3 linked regions of the Caenorhabditis elegans genome follow. The protein of the gene in region 1 purifies or fractionates together with the protein of each later gene. This does not show direct contact. Each region holds a gene or a part of one and is shown on either strand. Other genes may lie near its edges.

What was found.
Region 2: the proteins of svh-2 (region 1) and shc-1 purify together in Caenorhabditis elegans (affinity purification with western blotting, with the first as the bait; one study listed by BioGRID). This does not show direct contact.
Region 3: the proteins of svh-2 (region 1) and tns-1 purify together in Caenorhabditis elegans (affinity purification with western blotting, with the first as the bait; one study listed by BioGRID). This does not show direct contact.

What each region holds. Positions count from the first base shown.
Region 1 is NC_003284.9:6,551,749-6,562,927, forward strand, and holds svh-2 (Tyrosine-protein kinase receptor svh-2), read left to right. Parts: upstream 1-1,539; 5' UTR 1,540-1,567; coding exon 1,568-1,741; intron 1,742-2,378; coding exon 2,379-2,460; intron 2,461-2,516; coding exon 2,517-2,625; intron 2,626-2,672; coding exon 2,673-2,876; intron 2,877-2,921; coding exon 2,922-3,172; intron 3,173-3,219; coding exon 3,220-3,308; intron 3,309-3,357; coding exon 3,358-3,573; intron 3,574-3,617; coding exon 3,618-3,724; intron 3,725-3,903; coding exon 3,904-4,006; intron 4,007-4,053; coding exon 4,054-4,173; intron 4,174-4,218; coding exon 4,219-4,407; intron 4,408-4,455; coding exon 4,456-4,577; intron 4,578-4,623; coding exon 4,624-5,016; intron 5,017-5,259; coding exon 5,260-5,441; intron 5,442-5,493; coding exon 5,494-5,746; intron 5,747-5,793; coding exon 5,794-5,932; intron 5,933-6,028; coding exon 6,029-6,195; intron 6,196-6,750; coding exon 6,751-6,903; intron 6,904-7,139; coding exon 7,140-7,347; 3' UTR 7,348-7,717; and 1 more. Other genes in the region: Protein aaim-1, read right to left, coding at 7,822-7,919, 8,449-8,695, 8,744-8,923, 8,979-9,458, 9,504-9,630, 10,069-10,311, 10,362-10,435, 10,477-10,538 and 1 more. UniProt on the Caenorhabditis elegans protein: Receptor tyrosine kinase which may phosphorylate mlk-1, a component of the mlk-1, mek-1 and kgb-1 pathway. Involved in axon regeneration after injury by promoting the generation of productive and stable growth cones.
Region 2 is NC_003279.8:967,109-977,294, forward strand, and holds shc-1 (SHC-transforming protein homolog 1), read right to left. Parts: upstream 6,026-10,186; 5' UTR 5,945-6,025; coding exon 5,879-5,944; intron 5,830-5,878; coding exon 5,759-5,829; exon of another isoform or gene 5,613-5,758; coding exon 5,540-5,612; intron 4,979-5,539; exon of another isoform or gene 4,843-4,978; coding exon 4,352-4,842; intron 2,876-4,351; coding exon 2,785-2,875; intron 2,731-2,784; coding exon 2,572-2,730; 3' UTR 2,225-2,571; coding exon of another isoform or gene 2,129-2,224; 3' UTR 1,980-2,128; downstream 1-1,979. Other genes in the region: cutl-20 (ZP domain-containing protein), read right to left, coding at 1,127-1,209, 1,255-1,380, 2,129-2,224. UniProt on the Caenorhabditis elegans protein: Scaffold protein which plays an important role in the activation of the JNK pathway composed of mlk-1, mek-1 and kgb-1; by bringing together mek-1 and mlk-1, promotes mlk-1-mediated phosphorylation and activation of mek-1 which in turn phosphorylates kgb-1.
Region 3 is NC_003279.8:5,601,034-5,609,535, forward strand, and holds the start of tns-1 (Tensin homolog), read right to left. Parts: upstream 6,497-8,502; 5' UTR 6,485-6,496; coding exon 6,452-6,484; intron 3,962-6,451; coding exon 3,893-3,961; intron 2,458-3,892; coding exon 2,394-2,457; intron 2,348-2,393; coding exon 2,250-2,347; intron 1,573-2,249; coding exon 1,337-1,572; intron 1,283-1,336; coding exon 1,199-1,282; intron 1,157-1,198; coding exon 1,001-1,156; intron 865-1,000; coding exon 775-864; intron 1-774. Other genes in the region: ubl-5 (Ubiquitin-like protein 5), read right to left, coding at 6,893-7,001, 7,691-7,803. UniProt on the Caenorhabditis elegans protein: Probable phosphatase which regulates axon regeneration after injury by linking the svh-2 and integrin signaling pathways.

The sequences.
Region 1 (11,179 bases):
TTTTCAAGTGCGATCCTCCAGTACAAAAAAAGACATAACGTTTATCAGTTGCGGTGACATCACCAGATTTATCAGACATTTTCACGCTCACACGCATTTCCAATCAGTTGCTATCTTTCACCTCATTTGTTCCAACAAAACGATTGTTAAAAAATCGTCATCGGAAATGGGTCGAATCAGTAGTAGTTGGCCAATGTTCCTGCCATGACTCACTTACCATCATTTATCGTCCCTCTCTTCATGATTATAATTCGTTTCTGTGTTTCTCTAGATCTCTCAATTTGTTTCCAACTCTACCTACCGACTTGCGTGAACTTAAGCCTCGCTGAATCATTCTACAACAAAAAAAGTTCCAGTAGTACCATTGATTGAAAATTTTCTTTAGAAGTGAAAAGTATGGTTTGTGGTTTTAAAGGGTGTTGGTGTTGAGTTGAACTTTTTTATAGAACTGATAAGCTCCACAACCATGTGATTTGCAAAATATTGATTACGAGCTTGAGGGGCTGTTTCTAGCTTTTTTCCCGTTTGTAGACTTTTTTGTTGAAAATATTTAAGGAGAACTGTCACATGTAAAGATGTTACACTAATTTTTATGTCTTCTGAATACAGAAAATGAAAACGTACCTATGTAGTAGCAGTACCGCTCTATTTAAAAAAAGGTAATCTAATCGGAACGTGAGATAATATTTCTTTTTAGGTTTAGAAAACCGCCATTTTAAAGCTAAACATTGTAAAAACGGCCATGGTAATTTTTTTGGAACTGAGAAAATGTTTTATGGTACGGCTACTAACGGCTATAAGTATTTATTTAAAAAAACTATTTCAGTATCAATGCGGAAAAATAGATCCACTAAGATTATTTTTTCGTTTTTTTCTGTTTTTGTAGTGTATTGTGGCCAAAAAGAACACTTTAAAGCAAAACTCGTGAAAGAAAATGCCCTACTTTAAATGTTAGAGCAATGAAAAAAGCTCGCTTCCAATTTTTCATAACCCTTACTTGGTTTTTTATTATAACAAACAAAACATCAATCGCTAGAAATTGACATAATCAAATTTTGATTAAAAAAATAAATAATGCGTCTTATTATAAAAGTAATTGCTCGTTTTTTTTCGTCCACTAAGATGTTCAAAATAGAGTGTAGGGAGCAACTGATCTTTTTCGATAGTTTTACATAATCGTTCGATAGCCTGTCTTTCATCACAATGTTGGAAAAGATGTTTCCATGCCCTGTCATTATTGCGAAACGGGTGCCGGAGTCGCAATTTTCTCCGAGTCATTTTCTGTATAGAATGAAAAAAAGAGAGGAAGAGAAAAACACATGTCTCCCGTCTCATCTTCATTCCGGACCTCTTGCTCCACTCTTTTTTTTTATTTTCTCTCTTCCTTCTTTTAAAAATGTTTGAATTTTTCAAATTTTGTCATGTTTTGTAGTTTGAACGTCTATCAGTTTTCCCACAAAACTTTGGAATTTAATTAGATTAAAAGGGATTTTTTATCACTCAACAAAAAACTTTTAATATGTAGCGCCCAACTTCCAGGGACATCATGTCTTGCGGATAATCAAAAATGGTACTCGGCTCGTCGCAAAGTTCGGCGAAGGAGCTGACCACTCAAAGTTCCATTTTCCGCTTCTTGGTGCTCTTGCTGTGCTTCACTTCTGCAACTGGCGGGCAAATCAACGGGAAACTCCTCAACGGCAATGGTGTTTTTGTGTCCAGAGACGAGCTGCAGAACAAAAATGTGAGGTTTTTTGTGAATAGCTTTATTCAAAACTTAATTTATCTTTGATCAAAAGTCTTGACAAGTTTGACCCAAAAATTAAATGCGGTCCAAATTTAATTTTCTCAACTCTTGTCTAACTTTTGCCTAAGGTTCGCCAGTTTCTGAACTATAATGCAACAAAGCGTTGTCGCCAAACGTTGATTATTTTTTGAACCTAGTTAAAAACGCACAGTTCAAAAACCATTACTAAGATATGTAATTCAACTTAAATTCACTTAGGCATGATCAAATATCATAATAACAAACATTCCAAATGTTTTTCTGATTTTTTGAAAAATTTTCAGTGAGAGTATTGGAAAATTACCAAATTTTTCGAACAGTGTAGTATTTTTTTAAAAATTCGAGAACAGGTTCAGGTTTGAATCCATATAATGTTCTAATATAATAAGTATGATTAGATCATAAGAAAAAAAATCGTTTTGTTGGCTTTCAAATTTATTGTAGATAAGATCTGAGTCTTCACCGCTTTTTATTTCGCCACATTAAAAATAAAAAAAAAACAATGATATTTAGTCATTTAAGAAACATGTGAGTGGTTTTGAAGAATTTCAGAATTGACCTATAAAAAATAAAAGTCAACAATTGTGTTTTAAAGGTGCTGGGTGTAATCACTGGATTTGATCTACTTGTTGTCGCTACTCATTCGCGATTTCAGGTCTTTGAAAATAATGAAGAACGTGAGTAATTTTTTTTTTCACTTGTTTCCGGTTATCAAACGTCTGTCTGTTTGCAGGTAGAACAGTTGGCCATGTATCACTTGATATGCATCCACGCACCAAGTTTTTGGAATTGAAGCTCTTCTCGAAATCTGAAATATTTTACTGCGATGAGTCAAGCTGCGGGTATCTATTTTTGCTTTGTTGTAAATTTTTCAATTTCAATTTTTCAGGTTATGTACATACTCCGGTGTTACATCATCGTGCTCAACATTTATGCTGAACGGAGATGAGCCAAAAATTCAAGAGATCTTAAGTTCGAGTGCTGTGAAAATAGAGAATTTAGGGCAAATAATGTTAGCAATTTCATTTAAAAATGAGGAAGATCCAGACAACCCAAGAACAATGATTTTACGATATAATGCTCAAGACACTGGGTATTTTATAATTGTCTGAGATAATTTTAATAAGGTTGATTACAGAACTGTTATCCCAACAGCGTATCATGCCGATTCAAGTTTTATTCACAACAACCATGCCCTTACTGGTTTTGAAAGGGAAGGATTTGTATACTTCGTGATGACTGCAAGCCAAATCTTTGAGCCAGAAGTATTTTTACACGATCAGTCAAATAACAAAGTTACGGTCACAAAAGTCATTAGATTCTGCGCGACAGATCAAACTGCAGACTTGGCATCAAAAATCTCAATTTTAGTTGGTTGCGATCAAGAATGTAAAGTTTGAAATACCAAAACTAAATTTTTATTGATAAAATTTCAGTTAGAAATATAAGTTCCCGGGGTGAGACTGCTGTTTATGATCATGCAAATGATCTAATCAACATTGTGATGTTCAATCACACATCTATGGTTTGTTTTATAAAGTGATGCGTTTTTCATTGAACCTATATATTTTAAGAACCACTTAATGTGTCGCTTCAAAATGGCCAACATTGAAAAACGATTCAAAACTATTTGGAGTACCTGCCAAGAAACTTCATTTTCTGGCAGTACCGCAAAGACAACCCGTTGCAAGTACCCACAAATTTTTGATCAAATGAAGGTAAAAAAGGGCTGCTTGACGTATAGTCGATTGGACGATGAATCATCACCAACTCTTTGCGTGCGATATGGGGTAGGTGCATGTTTTCTATGCGAATTAAAACTTAAAAATTGCAGAGAGGCGATGCTCTGGACAATTGTCAGCTTCACACTGCCAAAAGTAACAGCTATCGGTACGGATGGTTGGAAGATTATAATGTTTTGCAAGGAGAGCTCATGATGAGGTATATCGCTTGTTGAAAGAAAATTTTAAAAATTGCAAAAAATTGAGTTAGCCTCATATAAAGTTTTCGACACACTGCCGCAGTTTCTTGACATGGCTAAAGAGAATAATTTTGGTTTAGAAGTTGCGACCAATTGCCGAGTTCACCACTTCTCTTGAAATATACTAAAATATTTTCAGAATTCCTTATCCTTTCTTTGGAATCGCTGAATCTTTAATAACTGATGGAAAGTCATATTTTGCCGCCGTCTCGGGAGAGTTTGATATGTCAGATGTTTTAAGGGTATGCATTTTTCACATCACGAAATTGCTTTCAAAATTGTTTTTTAGTTTTCGGCATCCGAATCTGCAGATATTCGTCCACACTGGAGAACCAACATCTCAGTTGTCGGAAAATTCTCTATCACAAAAACAAAGGAAAATCAGCTACTCTACACTACGGTCGAAGGAGTAAGTGTTTTAAGAAAATGTTTTGAACAAAAATTAAATTTTTAGCTGCAAAGTTTGGATATTTCATGCAAAGGGCTATATCCAAATTGTCAGACACTGCGTCAAGGTGGATGGGAAGATCCTTTAGAGTGTTCCTGGTGCGCTGATGACAACGCACAGCGAACCATTACTTCTTCAGAAGTCAGCAGCTGCAAAAATAATTTGAAGCACGAGTGTCCACCAAGTATGCGATGGGTGAGTTTCCGTGTATCTTCAATAAAAATTTTAAAACTGTATTTTCAGATTCACAAGTACAATAATAACTCAGGATTTACTGCAGTTGTTGATGGCTTCCGTGCATTGAAAAATCCAAAGTTAAATGCCTGCGGAACAAATTGTGTAGTTACGGTTGTTGATTCTTCTAGGTAAATAAAAAAAAATAATCGTTTGTTTCTAAAATGCGTTTTGCAGTATTCAATGTGATACGAACCCAGATGAAGTCATCGGTGATTCATGCAAACAAGTATTTTTAAGCGGTATGATTGGGGACAAGAACTACTCTTTCCCTTTTGACTATCAACAAGCTGATCGAGGGACTCAAACAGATGTGAAGAATAGTCAAGTTGACGATAAGAAGGGTAGTAGTCCTGGATGGAAGATCGCAATTGCTATTATCTCGGTGATGACGATTATTCTGATTGTCGCTATAATCGTCTACTACATGAGGAATCGATTCCCCAGAATTAAAACTCATGTCAGACCGCCAATTGGTCAACGTATTGAGAACGAGTACGATATGGGACACATGGCTGGAAGGCAGGCTCAGCTAGCAATTAACGGAGACAACTACGTTAAAGTTTTTAGGTAGGTCTATATTTTCTGGAGGATTGTCGAAATTGGCTTAAGTTTTCATTTGGTTAAAAGTGTATTTTTTCCCATACTGCGAGTATTTTTTAAAGTGTTCCCTTCCATAAGTTTCGTAAGATGATTCCAAAAAATGAGATAAAAACCTTTCGACGACATCCAATAGCCGCAGAACTTAAAAAAAAGTTATCGTAAATATTCTCCCAATACTTTTAACACACCACGATTATTATTGTTTTTCAGAAGCATGCGTCCCGATCTCAAAGTTGATTTCAAGAACCTGCGCGTTGACAAGTTGGATCCTATTGGCCAAGGTCATTATGGAGTTGTCTACAAAGCGATGTACTCACCATCCAAAAGTTTGGAGGAAAAAGTTGTTTGTAAATATCTGAAAGAAGGAAAAATTTCGGAATTTTATGAGGAAGGTAGACATTCCGTATTATTTGAAGCCTCTGAAAAAAAGCTCAAAACTTTCAGCAAGAACAATGTCTGAGTTTGACCATCCCAACATTCTCAAACTGATCGGTGTTGCACTAGATGATTCTTCCCATCTTCCAATTATAATTACCGAGTATATGGCAAAAGGCGATTTGAAGAGCTTTATCGAAAACGTGGAAAATACCATCAAAATGAGAGATTTATTCGAATTCGCATTTGACATTGCGAAAGGAATGAATTATATGCATTCGAAGAAGTTTATTCATAGAGATCTTGCATGCAGAAATTGCTTGTTTGTTCATTTTTCTTTTTTTTCAAGATATTATATTAAAATTCCAGATTGGATGAGCACCTCCGAGTCAAGATTGCTGATTTTGGTCTCTGCAGAAAAGTGGATATTGAAACGGAATTATATGTTCAAATGCACGAAAGAGACTTACCAGTGCGTTGGTTCCCGCCGGAAATATCCGAACAAGGGGTATGTCTAGGTTGCCCGGCATTTGCACAGGTGTTGTATTTCTAAACGCAAAACAAAATACGATATAACCAAACGTGTACATTAATTGTTTTTCAGTTTGGCATAACATCCGATATCTGGTCGTTTGGAGTTGTTATCTGGGAACTGTTCACACGCGGATCTACACCGTACAGCAATATGGCTAGTTGGATATTGATTCTTCCATGGTTGAAGGAATCAGAGACAAACAGGCTACGGAAACCTCCATATTGTCCCGAGAAATTGTGAGTTATCGCCTGGAAAATGTTTAAAAGTTAAAATTAGGAATTAATTTAGAGAATTTAAAGTCTCTAAAATAACTTTTATTGTATATTCTTTATTAGTACTGCAATCTCTATTAGTGCGGAACCTCTTCTTTTCATTTCAAAAGTTCTTAAAAAAGCCCCGGAAATGATTGCTGCACTAATAGAGAATATACAAGACTTTTTTACATTTTTAAAGAACAATTCTAGTGAAATAACAATTTTATGTACATTTGAAATTTTACAAAACACTATACCCAGCTTTAAATTTTTGCTGAAACCACGTACGAGAGAAGTTTTTGCAAATCCAGGACGCCCTGTTTAGAGAGCCAAAAGAGTGAAGTGTCGTTTTGCGGTTGAAATTTAACACTGATAACCGATAGATTTTCGAGTTTGTATTCATAAATTTACTTAAAATCCGGTAATTTTCAAAAACAATGTCAATATTGTTATCAGGTTTTAAGGGATATATTTATCATCTATAAAAAATGTTGGTCATAACCGTTACCCGCATTTAAAATAAACAACAATTTTCAGATACACCGACGTGATGTTGGCTTGTTGGAAAGCAAATCCTGCCGAACGGCCGCAGTTTAGCGACCTCGTGACTATCATTCCAAACGTTGTGAAGTATATGGAAGGATATGATCGCTCACAGTTACAAGCTGGTTATGAGCGAGTAAGTAGTAGGTGCTGCTTGCTTTTCTTTCGTTTCTAACATAATTGAGTTACCCATGCAACAATTTCCCTCTGACATTGATTTCCAAAAATAGGTTAAGGGTTACTGAATTAAAATTTTTTGTTTCATTTCACAAAAATGGATTATGTTTTCTGGTTAAAGTAATTGTTGAACCTGTGTTACTTTCCATGAGCTTTTTACCACAATAATATCAATAGAAAACCACAAACTTTATTTATCATTTCAGGTTTCTGAGCTTGTCACGTCACGACCCAGCATTTCCAATTTATCAGAATGAGATGCCAAACACACCTCTCCTAGCAAACTGTCAAAACGATACTAACGATTCCAAAACTCTTGCCGAGCTTCCATCCGACAGTCCTTCAACTTCAACTGCAATTCCACAGAGCACTCCTTACCAATTATTGAGTGAATGCTCAGAGACATCGGTCTAAGTCATCCAAGTTCACGAGGTAGATTTCTGTTAGTTCCGCGTTCAGTTTCAATATTCATGTAAACTTTTCTTCCACGACTTTGTAATTGCGCACCACCTTTCGTCCCATTCATTTTCAATATGAAAATCAATCAAAAGTTATTTTTTGCAATCAATCCGATTCTGTCCCGAGTTACTGGTACTTTCTTTGTGATTTGTATCCTTATGAATACTTCTTTTTGCATTTGTATTTTCCATCTTCCGTCTTATTGCTCCAGCGGTTCTAGTTGACAATTTGTTTGCGGGTTTGATACACATATACTTTTCTTTTTTCATCCTGTTCTCCTTTTCTATGTACTTTTTTCACATGGAAGTAAATCAATCAAATTGAAATGAGCATATTTTACAGATAGAATAAAATAAAAATAAAAAAAAACAAATGATGACATGAAATAAATAAATGGCATAAGTTAAGTGGCAATAGGGAAGAATACACTTAATTTTTTTGCTGGTGAGGTTGAATTCTGTTGATTTCTTCTCGAATTCGAGGTATCACATCCGGTGAAAATTTATGAATAGTTGGAGCAACGGCATCTGCAATTAGTTGTACTATAGAACTTTTTCAAAAACAATTTAAAGACTTTTAAGGCATCAACAGTGGAGAATCTCCATACAGAAAATAAAATAAATTAATGCAGCTTTGCTAAATCAGTTAACACTTTATATCATCGTCAGTACAAAAATTGATCTGAAGTCCTTTTTAAAATCTTTAAAAGTTGAAAACATTGTATAATTTGGTACATTTTCAGACCATTAAAGAATGAGCTTATGGGAAAATGAATAACAGTAATTTCTACGATGCTAACATGAAGTGCAGTGATGCCGGTTTTTTCGGCACCTACGTCGAAACCCTAATGAAATTTTTTGTCTAGAAAATATAGTTTGTAACAGTGATGCATATCACGTTTAATTTTAAATGCCAAATGGTTTTTTTTAGTTTTAGCCTAAAATGCAAAAACCAATATTCTAAATTTCAGCAATTATCTTACTCCCTCAAAAACTTCAGTATTGCTCCTGAAATCTTTATACATTCATGAACTCATTAATTGGTGTCACAACAAACCTATGATAGTCCGCCATGGGTCATTGTGTGCCATTTCCTTCTTTGTTTCTGCGAATGCACTTAATGCTGCAGAGAAGTAGTTGTTTGCCTGGTTTCCGAGTTCCGTGAAATTCAACGAGTTTGATTTCAATTGGCTGAGAATTGGGCTCACAGCTTCTAGTGGCGAACTGATCAATGGCGTTGGTGTAGCGAATTCAATTTCCGGTGGTATATGTGATGGTGTCTTTAGATACCATGGGGAGACGAACTAAAAAACAAATTGAAATGAATAAAGCAAATAAAAAACAAAACATACAACTCCTGGTGCCTTTGTTGGTTCCTGCTTAACTTCGTCATCATGCCAATTTATTTCAACTCTGAATGGTTGTGTAGAAGTCTGCTCAGCAGGTAACTTGAAATTAAATGCAACTGGAGGGGAGGATATTACTGTTTCCGTAGGTTTAACTGGTGCTAAAGCACTTGTTAAAGTAGACACCTGCAAAAAGATAACTTTTTTTTTTTGAAATTTTCACTGAAATAAGGGCACTAACCTGAACAGCGTCTACTTTATAGTTCCATGGAACGTACGTATGTTTGTCAACGACGGGAATAATTGTTCTGGTCGTTCTGATGATATCGTTTTTCAATGTATTTGGGTTTTTTGTGGTATACGGGTTTGGCAAAAACTTGTGCACAACTTTTGGCTTTTGAGTGGACGTTGGTTGGTTCATTGGAGCGCCACGTTCATCAACAATCACAGTTTTTATAACAGGTCCATTCGATTGAGAAGTTGTTGGCCGTGGTTTGAATTTAGAGTTTGGATCAGTTCTTCTCATGATTGGAAGACTAGTCCTCGTGACAACTCCGTCGATTACTGAAGGAAGTGCGGGAGGATGAACGGTTACATAAGTTGTGGAAGAAGTCGTTTGTGCCACCAGAGACTCAATAGGTAACCCTTTTTTCAATTCCGATTCCGGTTTTTTTCTTAGATCATATTGGCATTGCATTGGATATTCTTTGTTAGTTAAAACCTTTAATTTTTTTCTTTGTGGGAGGTTGTTAAGTTTAGACGGTACCTGTTGCATCTGTGCAAAAAATTGAGCAGCTTCTGCGGTACATTTCTTACCAATGTTGATATAAGTGCAAGTTGACACTTCCGAAAGTTCGATTTTGCTCACGCAGTCTGGTCGGGTACACATTTCTCTGAAAAGTGTGTTTTGTGACTTACAATAATCAAGTAATGTTTATTTTCTATTATTGCGGCATGTAGTACTCGTTTCCGGAATTTCCTCGACTACTAATTTTCGAGTGCTTAATTTAAAATGGAGAATATGACCATTCGCTTACAAAAAAGTAATATCTTAAATAGAAAATCATAAAAATTGTGAAATATCGTTACAGAAAACACGTTTAATTAACAACGTTATTAATTTAGTGCAAAACTATGAAAAAGGCTCATGAAAATATCTTTAAATTGTTGAAACTATAAGGATGCTTCTCGTAAAAAACAGGGGTGCAGTACTAATAGAGACTGAAGTACTACTGGAGTCTACGATACTAATTTTTAGAAGGCCTTGAAGGGTGCAGTATTAGTAAATATGCCTTACTACTGAAAAAGAAAAAGTACCTATATATACTTACCTGCATGATTGCAGCTTATCCGCAAAAACCGTATCATTTCTGTTACAAACCGATGATTGCGGTTCTGCTAGCACATCCTGAATGCATTTGCTTCTTCTCAAGAAGATCTTCTGTCGTTGTAGAGAAAATGGAGCACATAAATATGAATGTAACCTTTTTCCGCGCTCTAGTTGGGTTTTTTCAGAGGGTTTACCGCACTGTACCATTTTTTGATCAAAACACGGGAGGATGCGACTATAGGTTCTAAAACATGATTAGTTTTAGTTTGGTACTGGTTCTCCTAAATTTCAAACCTGCAAGTATGCATTAGCTTTGCTTCTGTCGTAATATTGAAAATAACTTCAATGGGATTCATATTGAAGTCAACCTAAATATGAATTTTAAAATTTTATTCCCAAGAATACATACCTTCTGAGCGCTAAGTTGCATTACACACGGCAAGAAATCCTTTAGTTGACAGCATAATGAAGCTATAAATGTAATCTTAAGAAATTGCTGTAGTAAACACCTCACCTGTGTATAAAATGCTGAAAAAAAATAATAACCTCATCAGTGGACTTCTGCTTATTAAAATGACTTCTTACACCCGCAATGAAACACGCCTGTAAATCTGCAAAATAAAATCATTGGAACATTGAAAGAAATTAAGCTATAAATGCCAACATCAAAGTACAAATGAAGTGCAAGCCGAATTGGAATGCGGTATGCACAAGTGTGGAATTATTTGGAAATGAATAGAATGACTCAGATTACACACGTGCGTGCAACCGTAAAACGACGGCATACCATCAACTACCGCGTGCTTCTCACATTGCTCGGCCCACCAAATAAAGGCAGACTTGAGAGGTGTTGAGCGGCTGGTCGCTTAGACAGTCGGGGTGGTGTCAATCTCAGCGTCTCGTCTGGCTACTTTCCATCGCGTTCGGTTTTGGCCCTACCTTTTTCTAGTTCCTACCGTAATGTCAATATTGTGTGGCAACGGGTGAGCAAGGAAATGCAGAAACCGGGAAAGAGGCGGTAGATCGACGGAAAGTGAGTATTAGGGTGTTGAATTGATTGCGTGCTCATGGCGCAGACGATACCTTGGTTTTTGATCGGACGCAAAATGGAG
Region 2 (10,186 bases), on another chromosome or scaffold:
CGCGCGGAAGAGACGATTCGTGTCGATTTACGAAATGATGACAACGAGGAAAATTTCGTAAATCGACACAAATCGTCTCTTCCGCGCGCCCCGCCCCATTGGGTCCCGGATGTCTGTCACTCTCTAACTATCTACACTCTCTGTACCGGTAATACCATAATATGATCATCATTCTACATTAGAAAAAAATCGATCTGAAATCACAGATTTTTGGCCTCCCTCATAAATTGAAATGGAAGAGGTTGCCAAACTAGGCCATTTTGGCTCGGCCATATCTGGGGTAGATTTACGGCGCGTTGCGTGTCGCGTCGCGGCTCGATTTTAGTTGTAAAACTAAATGTAGTTGGCCGTGTGGAGTACACGACTTTCCCACGCGTTGCCCGACGGGCGATTGCCAATGGAGCGCGAGAATCTCAATGAGGAAGGCCATGGCGCGCCAGAACCCCATGATTTTTAGGGTATTTCGAGGTTGGCAAATATTCTGGAATCTTTTTGCAAAATGTTTTTTTTTTTTTGAAAAAAAAATTCCAAAAAATATCCTGATCGATGAAAATTGTTGGGTGAAAAAAGTTGCAGATTTTAGGAGAAATTTGAGAAATTAGAAAAATTAGAAATTAGGAGAAATCAGAAAATTTCCAAACTGCTTTCAGAATACTTGTATATATTGAAATAGCCTAAAAATCATGAAATTTTTCAAAAATCTCTAAACTAGCCTCCAAATTTGGTAGTAAAAATTCACTGGCAGCAACTTCAGAGCGAGATTTTTCTAGTTTAAAGTGCTCGTATGTCGCTGAATTTTTTGTAGGTACCTATTTGAAAGCTCTTTTTTCAAAATTCAAAAATTTAATTTTCAAGTTTAAATTTTGAGTAGCGCCAGTGGGGGATTTTGTCTAAATACACTTATTATGATCCAAAACTACCTGAGTAATTGCCACTTTTTGACAGTAAATAAAACATTTACAAAAAAAAAAAGTTTTATTATGATATTCGGTCACTTTGGGACCAAATGAATGGTTTTTCATAATTTCCCCACTGGCGCTACTCCACCTTTAAAACTGAGCGGAAATACTTTCCTTGTGAGCATAGCGGCAAAAAACCTAGTACCACATGGCAAAAAAAAACCCACTCATTGTTAGCCATGACAACTTCGATCTCATTCTCCAAATTGCCTTCTCCGTTCTCCTTGGTCGAGCAGCCAGTCAGCGGAATCTAAGCAAATAATGCCCAAAAATTCAATACATTCAATAGGCAAACCTTCAACTGATATTTGGTGTCCGATTGAAGCGTGCCATTTGCATAGATACACTTTGGATGGCCCGCGCGACTTTGTATCGTGCCACGGAAGTTTTCGTCAAACTTGATTTTCAATAGGAAATCTGTCTGCAATATTGAAGACGTTTTTTTCCTTTTGGGTGGTGACCTTCAAGGTTTTGGCCTGGGTTTTTAATCTTCCATTAAATGCCCTTCAAATTCGCTTTTTCGAGAGTTTAAGAGAGTTTCTAGGCCGAGGAACTTCTTGCAGCCAAATTTCTAAACTATTGTGTTTTTGCCAAAAACAATGAAACATTTTAGGTCATTTGTGACGTCATATTTTTTCCATGCAACTTTTTATTGGCTCCACACATCTTCCAAAAAGCCTAAGCCTGAGCCTAATCCAATGTCTAAGCTTAAGCCTAAGGTTCAGCCTAAGCCTACGCCTAAGCCCAAACCAAAGCCTAAGCCTAAGCCTAAGCTCAAGCCTAAGCCTAAGCCTAAAAAAAACCGGAAAATCCTAAGCCTAAATAGCGTCAGTAGCAAGCTAACGCTCGCCACTGACGCCAAACCTAAGTCTCGGCTTAAGCCAAAGCCTAAGCCTAAGCCTAAACCCATGATTAAGCCCAATCCTAAGCCTACGCCTAAGCTTGAACCTAAGCCTAAGCCTAAGCCTAAGCCTAAACCCAAGCCTAAAATTTCTAGGCCACCACTAATATTTTCAAAACTCGATTCTCAAATACTTCATTTTTTCAGGATATGAAAGTAGGACAGAAATGGGCAGGGTATATGGTATGGAGCAAATATCACAAGATGGCAGAAACATAGATACGGGGTGGGAGTGTTGGACTAGGTGACTTTTCTAGGCCATCCCTACCTTATCACACGCAATAGAAGTGTCCACAATGGCCACCGATCGAATCAGCGGTGGCAGCACCACAACCACCGACCAAATGATCCAGTGCAGAATCATAAATTTGTGGAGGGAAAAATCGATAACAGTAGTGAGGGTAATAGTAGTAATAATACAAATATATATGGAAAAATGAATACAAAAAGATGTGTGCGCTGGTTGGGGTGGTGGCGTAAGAATACAGGTGGGTGGGGGGTATAATTGGAGCGTGGCCGAGGAGGAGAATCGCAAAAAAAAGAAGGAAAGAAAGAGGATAGTAATGACATGTTACGGTAGAAGGACAACTACCTAATTATATGAAAGAGGGGGGGGGGGCGACGAGAAGAGGAAAAAGTCTTACGCAATTTGCTACTCGACTTTCAATTTCTGCTAGAAATCGAAAAAAAAATAGGAAACAAATTCCGACTCTATTCGATATCATCACTTCCGGGGCACGGCACAGGTCGGATCAGATTCAACGACGTCTCGCGATCCCGACCCTCTGATCTTACGGCCATCCCATTGTTCACATGATAGTCGATGAGCTCGGAGATGTTGCTGAACGTGCGATCGCGGGTTCGGACTCTCTGGAATTTTGAGAGGTTTGAAGGTTTGGCGGGGGGGGGGGGGGAGGGTCTTACGTTGTGATTGTCCAGTAGGATGAGATGTTTGTGCTCGTTTTCAGCGGTTCGGCCACTCAGCACGTACTTGCCGGGCGTGTGGTCGCTTTGTCTGCAAGGAACTGGACAAGTTTGAGCGGCCGACAGCTTGCGGGTCTTTTTTTAGAGAAGGGGGACTGTGAGGTGTCCGCTGCTTCAGACAATCTTAGCATCATGCAAACCTTGCATCTTTTGTATTTCAGGAAAAAAAACGCAGAATTTTTTTTGAACAAAAATTTCAGCCTAAAACAAAAATCTAAAAAAATTTTGGGAGGATGAACTTATTATACCAAATTTTTCCCTGGTCTTTCAAGAATTATTTAAAGTCCCGTGGCTTCTGAACATATTATCAAACAAATTACAGATATGAAATGTGACTGAAGCTTTAAGTCAGAAATATATAAAAAAAGGATTTTTCATACTATTTTTTCAGTCAAATTTGATTTTTTTAGACTTTCAGATTTTTCTACGAAGTCTGTTAAAATAGGCTTATATTAAAAAGCTATCCGATTTACTATTAGTAAAAAATTATAGCGACCGACATCTCGCAGGTTGTTAAAGAAAGGTGCATTGACCGGCTCACGCAACTTTGGCAGTTTATATCTCGGCTGGTTTTGGTTTTATTTAAAAAATTTCAATTGACGAAATATTTATCACTTTTTCTACTAAAAGTTTGCAGTTGAACACTTTTTGCTAGCAGCGATATTAACCGAGATATTAGCGGAAAAAGTTACATGAGAAACATGGTGCATCGACAAGAAATATCTCACAAAACTTTGGCAGGTTATATCTCGGCTGGTTGTGGTTTTATTAAAAAATTGTTAATTAACAAAATGTTTATCCTTTTTTCTACTACAACTTTGCAGTTCAACACTTTTTGCTAGCAGCGATATAAACTGAGATATGATTGGAAAAAGTTACATGAGAAACATGGTGCATCGACAAGAAATATCTCACAAAACTTTGGCAGGTTATATCTCGGCTGGTTGTGGTTTTATTGAAAAATTGTTAATTGACAAAATATTTATCCTTTTTTCTTCTACAACTTTGCAGATGAACACTTTTTGCTAGCAGCGATATAAACCGAGATATGATTGGAAAAAGTTACATGGAAGACATGATGCATTGATCAGCTATCATAGCTCATATTTTACTTATCTCAGGTTTTACCAAAAAATTGCCAATTATTAAAACATTAGCCTTTTTCTTCGAAAATCAAATTTTGCCCGAATTGCCGAAAATATAGATTTGATATTTTTTTGTAGATTTAGGAGCCTAAACATTTTTTAATTTTTTAAGTATTGACCGTTTGCTTTTAAAAATGACTAATCGAATACTGAAAACACAGTTAACTTTTTTTTCAATTTTCGAATTATAATTAGGTTTGAAAATTGCCGAAAATGTCGGCATTCAGTTGGAATTTTGGCAATTGCCGAAAATTTCCGATTCCCACGCGCCCCTGGTGTGAACCTAGTGAGCATGAAGCCAAACGTTTTAGAAATTCAGCAAAATTCTAGCTTTTTTCTATAAAAAATCTAAAAAACCTTACCGAACCAAAAAATCGCCTTCCGTCTTCAACAAAGCCTGTGCATCCTCTCTGGATAAATTTCCATGATACCAAACTTTCCCCACAACATCCTCAGTTACAGTAGGTGCTCGGCAATTCGACACAAATGACTGTCGATGCAGGGAACTTCGATGTCTCATCGGCGGCGCCGGCACCGTAAATCCATCGTTAGAAGTTGAAGCATTCGCCTGTGCATCAAAAGTGTTCACATTGATCGCAGTGGTAAGGACGTCGATGAGCTTGTGCACATCCTCGATGAACACCACGTGGCATCGACGATCCGTTCCATCCTTGTTTTTTGCAATGTAGCCGAACATTAGCTCCGTGTCCGTACCCTTTTGGCCTTGGGCTCCGAATGAGAAGAATGAGAAGGGATGACGTTGAATTAGACGACTTTGTTTTATGATTTTGATCATTTTCGAGGAAATGTTGATGTCTACGGGGAAGTTTTCTTTTTTCACTTCACCGATTACCTGAAAATAAGGATGGTTTACCTGGGCTTTTTCATCGACCCGTGAAGTGTCGGCTGCAATAATTTTAGTCGAAATTAGTGATAATAACTTTTCTATGAATAGCGGCTGACATCATTTAGCGCGATTTTTGATCGACCTGTAAGATGTCGGTTGCTTTAGTACATTCTATAGTGGCAGGCTTTTGGCTGAATTTTACTGGATATATAAGCTATCAAAATTTGAGCATGTCGATGCACCATGTAATTATCTCAGTTTATTTCGCTGCTATCAAAAAGTGTTAAAATGCAAAGTTGTAGTAGAAAAAACGATAAATATTTTGTCAATTGACACTTTTTCAAAAAAAAACCAAAACCAGCAGAGATATAAGTAGTCAAAGTTGAGTCAGATATTTCCAGTCGATGCACCATGTAACCTTTCTCTAATAACCTGTGAGATGTCGGTTGCTATAATTTTTTAGTCATTAATTTGGACAGCTTGTTAATTTGAAATAATTCTTGATGATATCGTAGCGCGGCCGACATTTCACGGGTCCTTTTTTTTAAACATTTTGCAAAGCTGGTCATGCATTTTTGGTAACACTTAATATCAAATTAATGAGAAAATGTTTTGTAAATTTTTACCATTAGCCATGCCCAGAAAATGGCAAGTTTTTTATTTTATTTTCTTTTGTTTTTTTAATTCACAAAAAAAAACTCACCCTACTAACAACTGGATTGATTTCTCGAGCCGCAGTCACGCCAACAGTAGCTGCAACGTGTTGTATACATTCTCTGAAAATTGAACAGTTACTTTATTACGTAGATTTTTTATATATTTGAGCTTGCAGATGTTACCTGCCTTCATGCCTGCCTACCGCCTGATTTCTAAATTTTTGAATAAGATTTTTTTTTGATTTTAAGCCATAAGAAAAACTAACGAAACAACTTGAACTCTCATCTCGGAAACCATCACGTTAATTGACTCGACTACTGGAACACTTCCGAGGTACTGAAAGACAATTTTATATTTTCGGGGAAAAAACTAATAAAAAACTCACAGTAGCCGACAGAGAAACCCCGCTGCTCCGCAGCTCCTCTGCAAATGAGGGCTCCACGTTGAGCATCGCCGCAAGTTGATTTTTCGACGGAATTTTTGATTATTTTTAGAAAAAATCTAACTCGAAATTCGTTACAACCGAAATTTTGCAAGATTGAGTGAATGAGGAATGACCGGGAGAGAAACGGAGACGCAGGCGGTGAGCGGAGTGGGAGAGAGAGCGCGCGAGACGGAGAGGCGCAGGCAGTGGTAGGGAGGAGACAGGGAAAGATTAGATTGGTGTTGACTGGGTGAGTCAGCATTCTAATAAGTTAAGTTGACTCATAACTTTGTTTTTTGATCAGAGGGGGGGGGGGGGGGCCGTGGCCTAGAAATATCATTGCCTACTTATTACGTCACTAATGGTCTAGGAAACCTTGATAGCTTTTTTGGAGAAGATATGACGTCATTGGTGGACTAGAAATCTTATTTTAGTTCTGGAAGAGAAATATTTTGACCGTGGAAGACAAATTAATGATGTGACCGGTGGCCTAGAAGTTTCAAATTATACCTGGGGAAATAAATGACGCCACTGGTGGCCTAGAAAACTTAAACTATGCCTGAAGACGTCACCGGTGACCTAGAAATTTAATTCTGGCGACGTCATAGAAATTTGAATTTTGATGAGAAATATAATTTTATTGGTTTTCTGAAAATTGAATTTTATTGATTTTTTGGCAACCGGGAAATTGGAAAATTTAATAAATTGAACAAATGCAATAAAATAAGCAGTTTTTCAACAGTCATTACTTTTTTCCGTGAACCGTTTTGATTTTAATTTGTAAATCTAGGTCGGAAAAGTCACACACACCGAGGAGCTAGGCTTCCCTCATCCTCCCTGGATCAGTCGGTAACTGCTTCGACTGGGGAGTGGGAGTGGGAGGGGTGGGATGAGTTCAATTCTTCTGGAATTCCATAATTTTTATTTTTGTTTTTTTGCGCCTACATATACCTGTGAAAATTGGAACTCGACACAAAAACCTCTCTAGCGCGGCTTAAATTTACTTCAATTCTTCCGGAATTCCATAATTTTTATTTTTGTTTTTTTGCGCCTACATATACCTGTGAAAATTGGAACTCGACACAAAAACCTCTCTAGCGCGGCTTAAATTTACTTCAATTCTTCCGGAATTCCATAATTTTTATTTTTGTTTTTTTGCGCCTACATATACCTGTGAAAATTGGAACTCGACACAAAAACCTCTCTAGCGCGGCTTAAATTTACTTTCCTGTCCCAAAAACTCATCTATAATATTTTTAAAAAATCTAGAATCCAAATCTATCAGATTTTTTTGAATTTTTGATTTTTTTCACATCGAGATTCGGAATCAGCGGAAAATTTGGAGTCAATTAAAAATATTTTCCAGATTTCGATACTCCACATTTAAAGGAGATCACCTGAAACGCCAGAATATGATACTTCATACTCTCCATCTTCTCGCTTTTGAAAATAATCAAAAAAAATAGTCGCCGTATTTATTGATATAGAAAAAATACCAACAAAATTGTAACTATTGATTAGCCATACAGGGTCTTTAAAGTCAACATTCATAGTGGGAGCTGGAAATAAAAATATATAATAACTTGTTAAAAGAATTTATTGTGGAGTTATAACACCTATAGACAATTAAAATCACCTGCTGCCTAAAGAGTATTTACCAGAAGCAAAGGTTTTCTGAATTTAGTGGAGTTTGTCCATTTACTTTTTTGCATGTTATTGAATTGAAATGATACATAGTGAAACTAGAGGTAAAATTATTTACTAGGTTTAGGCTTAGGCTCAGGATTAGGCTTAAGCTTAGGCTTAGTTTTAGGTTTAAGCTTAGGCTTAGAATTACCGATAACTGATAACTTTTGCAAATTTAGTTTCTGTAATATCGGCAATAGCCAAAATTGCCGGAAATTTCTGCGATTCGAATAAATAAATTGAAATAAAAATTAGTTCCTAAGATACATGTTATCTTTTTGCAGGAAAGTAGTAAACTCATGAAATGAGAAATTGCGATGAGGAAGGAAACATTCCTATGGTTCCTTAGACAATTTCTCACCTTACATTAGTATATAATATATAAATGATGAATTTGACTTTTTGAAATTCTCTTCAATAAATACATTTAGTTGTTTTTTTTTTAATGAGTAAAGTTGCAGAGTGTGGAATTTGCTATGAGGAATATGGTGAATATTGTTGGAAATTTTTCTGAAAGTTTTCATTTTTTTTGGAAATTTAGAGAGTTGGGTGTAATTACTGAAAATTATGTTTTAAAAAAATTATTTTAATGATTTTTCAAATTTTACAAAAAACTCATTTTTAAATCATTAGAGGTGAAGTAGCGCCAGTGGGAAGATTGTTAAGATCCACTCCTTTAATCCGAAAAGTACCGAATATCATAATAAAACTTTTCAAAAGTTTTTAGAAACTTTTTTATTTACTGTCAAAAAGTGACAACCACTCAGTTTTTGCCACTCATAATTTTGGAAGTCGACCAAAAAAAAAATTTGTTTTCCTACATTTTTTATACTTCAATTTTGTTTTAATTATTTGTATTGAAAAATTGTAGGGGTCGAAACATGCGACAATCCTGTCAGTTTTCAAAAATCTCTACTTACAAAATATAGGACACGCTCCAAAAATGGATGTTTTTACAGACAACGCCATCCGAATCCCTTGCATCGGCACATGCGGTCATACGTTATGTGACAGTTGTCGTGAGAAAATTAGAGATAAAAAATGTCCTCAGTGTAATCAGAAAGGCGCATTTGTTGTGAAAAATGTGAATAAACAATTTTGGGATTTAATTGTTTTTTCGCAATTTTTAAAACCCCAGGAAGTGGAAGTTGAGGAGACTGAAGAGGTTGGTTAGAACTTTTTTTTTGGATTTTTCGGTATTTCCGGGAGGTTATCCTTTGGGCCTAAAACTAGGCCTAAGAGTAGGCCTAAGCCTAAGCCTAAAACTAAGCCTTAGCCTAAAACTAAGCATGAGCCTGAGCCTAAGCCTAAGTCAAGCCTAAGCCTAAGTCTGCTGCTATCAAAAAGTGTTAAAATGCAAAGTTGTAGTAGAAAAAACGATAAATATTTTGTCAATTGACACTTTTTCAAAAAAAAACCAAAACCAGCAGAGATATAAGTAGTCAAAGTTGAGTCAGATATTTCCGGTCGATGCACCATGTAACCTTTCTCTAACAACCTGTGAGATGTCGGTTGCTATAATTTTTTAGTCATTAATTTGGACAGCTTGTTAATTTGAAATAATTCTTGAAGATATCGTAGCGCGGCCGACATTTCACGGGTCCTTTTTTTTTAACATTTTGCAAAGCTGGTCATGCATTTTTGGTAACACTTAATATCAAATTAATGAGAAAATGTTTTGTAAATTTTTACCATTAGCCATGCCCAGAAAATGGCAAGTTTTTTATTTTATTTTCTTTTGTTTTTTTAATTCACAAAAAAAAACTCACCCTACTAACAACTGGATTGATTTCTCGAGCCGCAGTCACGCCAACAGTAGCTGCAACGTGTTGTATACATTCTCTGAAAATTGAACAGTTACTTTATTACGTAGATTTTTTATATATTTGAGCTTGCGATTGTGTAATCAAAAATAAACATTTGAAGCATGATACGAAATATTTGAACGATTTTTTTTCGGAAAATCAATAAATGAAAATGGAGTTTTTTTTTTGGATTTTAGCAAACTTCCCAAATGACGGAAAGATCATATGAAGCGATTATTTTTTCTTTTATAAACCTGTTCAGGATTTGCATTATTATGAGAAAATCCTAGGCCAATTAGGCTAGCATGTACGGAAGTATTTTTTAAAAATTTATAAAAGTAATGAAAAGCTGATATTTTCAAAATTCCAGAATGACGGAAAAATCATATGAAATGCTTTTTTTTTCTTTTTTAAACCTATTTAGAATTGTCAAAACTACCAGAAAATACTAAACAAAATAGCTTAGCTTGACCGGAAATATTTTTAAAAAATTGATAAAAATAATGAAAAGCTGATATTTTCAAAATTCCAGAATGACGGAAAAATCATATGAAGCGATTCTTTTTTCTTTTATAAACCTCTTTAGAATTGTCAAAACTACCAGAAAATACTAAACAAAGTAGGTTAGCTTAACCGGAAGTAATTTTTACAAATTGATAAAAATAATAAAAAGATGATTTTTTCAAAATTCCAAAATGACTGAAAAATCATATGAAGCGATTCGTTTTTCTTTCATAAAATAGTTTAGAATTGGAATAATGATCAGAAAATACTAAAC
Region 3 (8,502 bases), on another chromosome or scaffold:
AGGACAATCGCGAACTCTAAATATTTTTTTAAAGTTCAATAAAAAAAGTGAAGCAATTTTAAAAAAAGTAGTTGAATAAATATTATTTTCAGGCAATTATTTCTAAGCTAGATATTTGAAACATTTATTTTTTATTAAATTTGAAAATTATAAAAATAGGTAATTATTGTACCATGGCACAGAAACTATTTGGAAACTGAATTACTGATTTCAAACAGGAAGTGATACAATGAACTCTGGAAAAAAGTATCTGCAAAAGTGTTTTTTCCTAAAACCATCGGTCCCAAATTTTAATTTGATAAGTAGATTACGGACTAAACGATCGTGCAAACAGAAAAATAAAAAAGGAAATAAGAAAAATGAAAAAAAAAGCAAGAAGAAGAAGATGCTCCTTTCTCTATTTCTCTGTTTACTTTTCAAAAGTGGCTTATGGGTTTGTGTTTGTCTATATATGTGTGAGAAGCAAAAGGAAAAATGTCCAGAAAAAAGGAGAAGACAAAGTGATTTCCGAGAGCATAAACACCCTGAGCACAAAAAGGAAAGAAGAGAAAAGAAGAAGACACTATAATTTGTAACTCCCTTTTTGTTCCAAACATTCAACCAATTTTCGAGAAACTTCAGAATTTTAAATTTTCGCAAAATTTCCGTTCTTACAAAAGTTGCCAGAAGTGGTTCAAGTATCGTGAGATACAAACTGAACTTTTGGATATATCTGACTTAGTAATTGGTTACTTCTGCTCAAATTACCCTAGATCATATTTTTGCAAAACTTACGATGAAGCTGCTACAATACACTTGAAGAAAATATCGCCACGAAGTTTCAGACTTCCATCCATTTCGAATTTTGAAGATTTGTTTAGAGCTCTAAATAATATAAATTAATATGTTCTATGCCTTGAAAATTTATTTTTAAAAATTATATTTTCAGAAATTAAAATCTTCAAGTTCTACTATGGAAAATACCTGTTATTTAAGGAAATTTCCAAAAATAAGTACTTACACAGTTTTTGACTGATAAACTGGCACAAGTCGCTCGTATATCTTGAGAAAGACGTTGATTGGCTCGAAAAATGTCAAAATTATATTGTGAAGGTATAAAGGATCTGAGTTGACAGATATTCGACCAGATAACAGTGATGAGAAATAACCGAGGTATCTGAAAACATTAAATTTATAATAACTTGAAAACTTAACTGACCTTTTGTAACTGGGTGGTCCATCGGGTCCTAGGAATCTTTCAGAAAACCTCTGCATACTGAATCGATCATCAACTGAATCGTCTCTGAAAATTTACTGTTTGAATAATTTTTACATTCGAAAGTGAGAAAAAACCCACGTTGCAGAAATAGCATTGAATCTCATAAAAGCATTAACAACAATTGCACATCTTTCAAGACCTCCTTTACAAAAGATAACAGCAATATTAAGAGGATGTTCAAGCATCCATTGATCCAAATTTTTACAAATTGTGCATAATTTTTCAAGTGATGGAGCAGTTTCTGATGGCCAACCAAATGGAATTGCATCGAGAGAAGAACTGATGTCATGGCGACGTTGAGATACATTCCATACCTGATCATTCAAATCTTTTTGAAAAATTTCAATTTTTCCGATTATTTCAATTATTCAAGCCAACATTTTTCTGATAAAGTGTAAAATCTATTAATGAAAAATTTATAATAAAACTAAAAATACTGTTCTAAATTTCACAGAAAAAATAGCAAAGGGGAGATGTTTCAGCTCACTTTTGAACTTCTAAACGGAATATTTTTCTTTTGGAAGAATACCTTTTTCTACAGAGAATTTAGCGGCCGAGGGGACCTTTGAACTGGAAAATATCCAATATTACTTTTTTTTTCTGTTTTTCACAGCATTCAAGGCTCGTAGATGTTAAGTGGATTAAGTGGATTTTCGGATACTGTCAGTAGTTAATTTTTTGACCATTTTTATGTTTTTAAAAATTATCTGAAAATTTTCAGTCAAAACATCCTTTTATATGTTTTTTTCGAATATTGGACTTGATTCCTGGACTTTTGGATTACCTTAAAACAATTTTCAATGTTTTGATGAATATAATTTGATTAAAAAATACAATGGAAGATTTTTCAGATCGATTTTTTCCAGTTCAAATTGCCTCACTGTCAAATTCTTTGTTGGGACATAGTTTTTGTATGAATTCCAAAACAGAAAGACTTTTCTTGACAGACTATCTGTTTTACTCTTTTAAATTAAAAAAATTAAAAACTCACTCTGATATGTTTATTATGAGCATTTTGAATTTGTTGTGACGCCTTGAGCAATGATTCCACAAATTTCCGTTCGCTGGTCTCTGATGTACATGATAAAACTGCAAAGTCTCAAATAATTATCATAGTTCAACTAAAAACTATTACCAATAAGCCGAGAAGTTATATATTCCACCTGTACACCTTCTTTTCGATCCTTCATTTTTTGTTTCTGAAATTCAAATTTTTGCAATTCAAAACAAAATTTGAGATAAGTTGGGTGAGTTGAAAAAGAATAAAAGATACTCGTCTCAATTTTTCAACCAAAAAAAAAAGAAAAGAAAAAAGCAAACCCAAAATTTGACACATTTGTCTTTTGATTCTTCCTCGTCTCTTCTTTCTTTTTTTCACTCTCACACATAACTTCTTTTAAATTGTCTCAAATTCAAATTTTATTCAGTGCAAAAGAACTAAATAATTCTATTGATTTTTATACGCTCAATAAGGTTTTGGAAATTAGTTTCTAAGAAATTTGAAAACTTGAGATATTTGCCATACTCTTGACCTATGAAAACTTTAGAAGTGGCTAATCATTTGTGGTTGTCACTCTTATTATGTCCCAGTAATATTGGTACAAATATAGCTCAAAAGATTGGAAAAAATCCAAAAATAACAATAAAATTGCAATTGTTTAATTTACTGTCATAAAAATGGCAATTACCTTTCATAATTACCTTTCATTTTGCAAGTTCACAAAACAACATTTTTTCTACAATTTTTATATTTAAATTAACTGTTATAAAAAACTATATATGTTTGTGTTTGAACACTATAGGTGCTTGTAGCAATGTCTAAGTGTACTCAAAAAATGAATTTTTTTGAAAATTTGGTATTTTTTCAAAAGTTGGACACACATTTAGAACTATCTAAAATGCCAATAATTGATTTTTTAAACATTAATCCTGAATTAATATTATATTTAAACTCGTGAGTAGGAATGAGAACGTAAATCAAGACGCTTTCGGTTAAAGAAGTTGGGAAGAAAGACAGAAATGGGCAATGAAAAATCTATCAGAAAATTGAATTAGTGGGTCCCGTCAAACAGAAAAAAGGATTCTGTCGACGGGCGACCCCAACAAAAAACCAAAAAAATTTCGGTGAACGGAAATGGACAACTTATGTTCGGAACGGCTTCATCCTCTTTTGGGAATACTTTTAGCAAAAAAAAAATGGAAGAAAGTGAGCAAAACGAAAAAAAAAGGAAACCAAATCCTAATTTATGAGCTCATATTCTCTTGTTTCACATTGATTTATTTATTTTTTAGTTGTATTCTACTTTTTTTCCTTTTATACAGCAATTCGGCTTTTAAGAAATTTTCTTTTTATAGTATTTTGATAATATAGAAATTTTAAATTGTTTTTGTAAAAAGAAGGTAATACTGAATTATTGGATACGAAAAGTTGAAAAAATTCGGTTGGAGGAAGATAAAAAGTGATAAAGTCGACATGAAGGTTACCTAAATCCTGTTTTTGATATCAAGCAAGTGAGAGGGAGAATTGCGTAAAGAAAGGTGACAAGGTGACAAAGAAAAGGTGACAAGATGATTTATTCTGTGCTAGTTGTGGTTTGTAAGGGAAAGAAACAAAATGTATGTAATTTGACCTACAAGACGAAGTTGGTCCTCGCTAATTGTGTACACCTCGTAGCCAGCTTCATTGTTGTATTTGTTGGATTTCTGAAAAATTAAGTTTTGTTCTATTTAGTAGGTTTGCGGGAGCAGTAGAATTCCTAGACACTCAAAAAGTGAGGAAAACGATTTCTCCTATGATAATTTTGGAAATCATCCAAATTGAATTTCACGGTGGTTCAGCTTTTTTTCAAACTTGGAGGAATGCTCGTATTCACTCAAAAAATCCATATTTTTGGAACATTCGGCATTTTTCTAAAACATTGACTGAAAATTTCAAAATGCCAAAAGATTTTTGAACGATTTTTTAGAATATATAATCAAGTTGGAAGTGTATTTAGTCTATATTTCTGCTCATGGTACTACAACATTGATAATAAAATTAACTTGAAGATTTTCAGTGTCTCTAGAAATCTAAAATTTGTTCTCAAAAACTGTTTTTTAATCGTAGAAAAAATTTAATTTGTTCGATGAAAACCAAAATAAATTCATTTATTGTCAAAAATAAATTTGAAATCTATGTGCCTCATTTTTTCCTGAAGTTACGTGTCTACTCTCATATAATAAATTTATCCAAAGTGCCACAATGGAGTAGCTTAATGCAAGATTTTTCCAACTAAAAAATTATTAAAAACAGATAAACTTTCCTGATCACAAACTTATTTAACTAGTTAAAAAATTACTCAAAAACCAAATTAACATTCATATTTCCTTTTACCCTTTTAAATCTTTTCTTTCATACCAATTTCTGTTCATTTTTTAAATAAATTCCAATTCCGTTTTCCAATCAAATGTACATTTATACATCAATTCATATATGAATCGCAGAAAACGACCAAAAAAAACCAAAAACTATCACTTTTGGTTGTTTGGCGACACATAGCCACACAAAAAAGCGTGTCGGCTACCTTTTCTTGTCCGTTTTGATATTATATATTCAATATAAAATGATCTACCTTTCTTAGCTGTGTACCGCCCGTTTTAACGAGGAAACATTCATTCGAACACCTGATTATATCGGAAAATGGGTGTGGCATTTTGCTGGATTGAAACAAAGTTGCTTAGTTTTACAGATTTGGAATTACTCTGATCGTGGTAGAACCCACACTGTTAAAATAGATGTTTCAATATTTGAAGAAAGTATTATACCAAAATCGGGACAGCTTCAGATCAGTGTTTTCATAGATTGTGTGCAAAATTTAATTGAACCTGCAAATTCATGTTTTTTTTCTAAATTTGATTATCAGAAAAGCCATGATTTACAGGGTTCATACAGTTTTCTAATTCAAATAATTTTGGAAATTTTATCATTAGAGCTATGTTTCATGTTCAATGAACTTTAAAGTTTGCCAATCAAAAATGTTTCAGAAGCAATCAGAATTGATAGAAATCAATCAAAAAAGAAGCATTTCCTATTTCCTTCTAATTCGTCTAATTTCCGGTATTACAATCGACGCCGCACTAACTAATTAACAATTTTCTTCTTTTTCTAATAGAAAACCTGCGCCTCTTGTTTCTTAAAGTACTTCAAATATTTATAAAAAATACATGGAGCACGTTATAATGAAAATTTGTGTTCCGGACTCGGAACGGTCCAAATATTTCTAAAAGTACAGTAACCCATTCGGATCTTCGGGTTTTTCTTTGAAACACTTATTCGAAAAAGGATTGTTTGCTGGAATACTATGAAGTTGGGATTTACAAGACTAAAGAAAATCCATGAAAATCGCATGATGGGTTACTGTACTTCTTTAAGGCGCACGCAATTTTGCCCTACGTCTCATGAGTTTCTGAAAATAGTCGATTTCTGAAAAAAAAAAAGTTGTTCTTTTTCCATTCTCTATCTCACTTCTCCACTATTTTGCTTGGAATGTGCTCAGAACCTCACGATTGTTTCAAGCCTCTTCCGTTGGGAGGTAGGGTGTCCACTATTTGGAAGCCATCCAAAACGAAATAGTACTGGAGACGAAGAGACGCAGAGAAAAGGTAAACGGGCCGCCCGTACTGTTTTTACGCGCTCCGAAGGGACACATAGATAAATAAAAAAGAAAATGGAAAAGAAAAGATGATGAGCCCTCCGAAGAGAGCTTATGTCCTTCTTATTTTACTACTGTTGAAGTAAATACAAGGGAATGACAAGAGAGAGAAAAGAACTAAAAGGAAATGTTTTCAAAAGTGATTAACATTGGTTTTTATTAGGTTTTATAAACTGGAAATAGAATACAGTTATACAATTGAGATTATTTCTGAATTTTCAATTAAAGTTTTTATTTTAAACAAAACTTTAAAAAATAGCTATTTAATTCAAAAGCTGTGGTGACCAAAAAAACGAACGGATAATCCAGATTTTTATTGTGAAACGAGGTCAATACGACTGCTTATTGATACCATATGTTTGAATATTTCTATTTAGAGAAACTTTTTTTTTAACTTTTGAGATATTTTTTTATTAATTTTCAAAAGTTGTTTTATTTTTGTATTCTATAAATATTTCATTTTAAGCTTTCGGGATTCAAACTTTTCAATTTAAAAACGTACCCTTGAAGCACAGCACAGAGCTGCAGCAGCCATTGCCCTTGGTCTGAAATGTCTTTTAGAAGTAATATTTTTGAAAATTCAAAAAAAAAACATCTGCAAAAATTAACTATCCACTGATTTTTCTCTATCCACACTAAACTGTTTCGCGCAAACACATTGATAGGCGAAGAGAATTAGAGAGAAAAAGAGAAAAAATCGGACAAAATCTTTTGGGTCGAACAAATGGGCGGAGCCTACTCGGGTGGGAGCGAAGAAAGAGGGAGTGGTCAAACAAGACGGCAGAAATTAATGGGGTGGAAGAATGAATATAAGATGTTTTTAAAAGTGCATTTAAATCAAGAAAGTGTTGAAATTTATTCGAAGTCAAAAAAAATTAAATTGAAATTCATGAAAAGTTGAAAAGTAAATAATTGTTTAAAAAATGAAATGAATTCTGATGAATCATTGGTAGTAGAGCTCGAAATTGAATCCCTCGTGAATCTCGTAATCCATCAATGTGATATGATCCTTGTAAATGGTGTACCACTTTTTCAACACGATCTTTTCCCATCTGAAATTTAATTGATTTTTTTTTATTAAACAATAAAAAATGTATATTTCATCACCAAGAATGGCGGTCGAAATTTATGATCAAATTACAAAAAAATCAATTATTTAATAAAACACAGGGCTGGGAGGCAAGTTTTTTTTTGCAAAGTCGGAAATTTTTCGTTTTGCAATTGTTGTAAATTTTTAAATTTTTATTATAAATTCTGCAAAATTAAATGCACTATTTTAATGTCCTAGAACTATTTTGACATGCAAGTAAAATCTATGAAAATGTTATTAATGTTTTTTCTCATGTAAAATATCTTGGAAAACTTTGGGCAAATCGGCAAATTGCCGTTTTTCAAATTTTCAATTTGTTTCTAATATATAAAACATACGAAAATAACATATGCGAATAGCCGCATGAGATGGCAAAACACAGAAAAATTGTATTTTAAAACGCGATTTCCTAGCTCGAGATCATTTTAATAACGACTTTTTGTGCCATTTTTGATTTTTTTTAGTTTTTAAGTTCTTTTTTTCCTTTCAAACGTTTTAACTTCTAACTTCTAAAGTCTATAAAAAAGCTAAATTCTTTTTTTTTCAATATAATTGATTTTCAAGTTTAAGAATTCAGAAAAAAAGATTGTGGGATCATCAGTCAATTTCAAAAAGATTATCAAATTCAAAAAGGTAATTTTCAAATCTCACCGTGTTCCAGTTTGTGCAGCGATCAACTTCTTCAAATCTCCAATTGTATCTGATGGATTGCACTTGATTCGTACTTTTTTTCCGAGTCGATCGTTTACTGTGATTTCAATCATTTTTCCTGAAAGGTCAAACAATTATGTATAATTTAAAATATTCACAAATTTCTTAAGAAAATACATGTATTTTGCAAGAAAGCAATGAAAATTCGGTATAGAAAAACATTAATGCAATTGCGCAATAAATAAATATAACTATTTCGAATGTACGTAAAAACACACAACTCGACGCGCAAATGCAGACTTGCAATGTAATCAGTAAACTTAAAGGCGCATGCACCAATTATTTTTCAAGAACTCAATTCTCGCGGCGAGACTCAACCCTTTGAAACTTAAAATTAAAACTTACTTTTTTTATTTGAGCGTATTTAAAAACGAACTTTTTTAAACATAAACTGCTTAAATTTTGCTATTTTTTCCAAAAATTAATCTCGGAATTATAAAAAAGCGCAAGTATGGTAAAATCTGCAGTTTTTGAACATAGCGTTTCACACTTGCGAAAAACCTCTTCTGAATACGTTTATTGATTAATTCGTAGAGAAAGAATAATTTCCAGTTTATAATCAGCTCTATAAAACCTTTATTCGACGAAATACTTTGACGTATAAGCTTTTTCTTTGTAAATAGTATACAATACGTCGTCACAGAAAAAAAAGTGACGACTATAATTTTTTAATTGAAAATGGAGAATTCTACAGAATTGGTTAGAAATTGATGGGAGAGGGATATCACATCATAAAAGTAAGGGGCGGGACT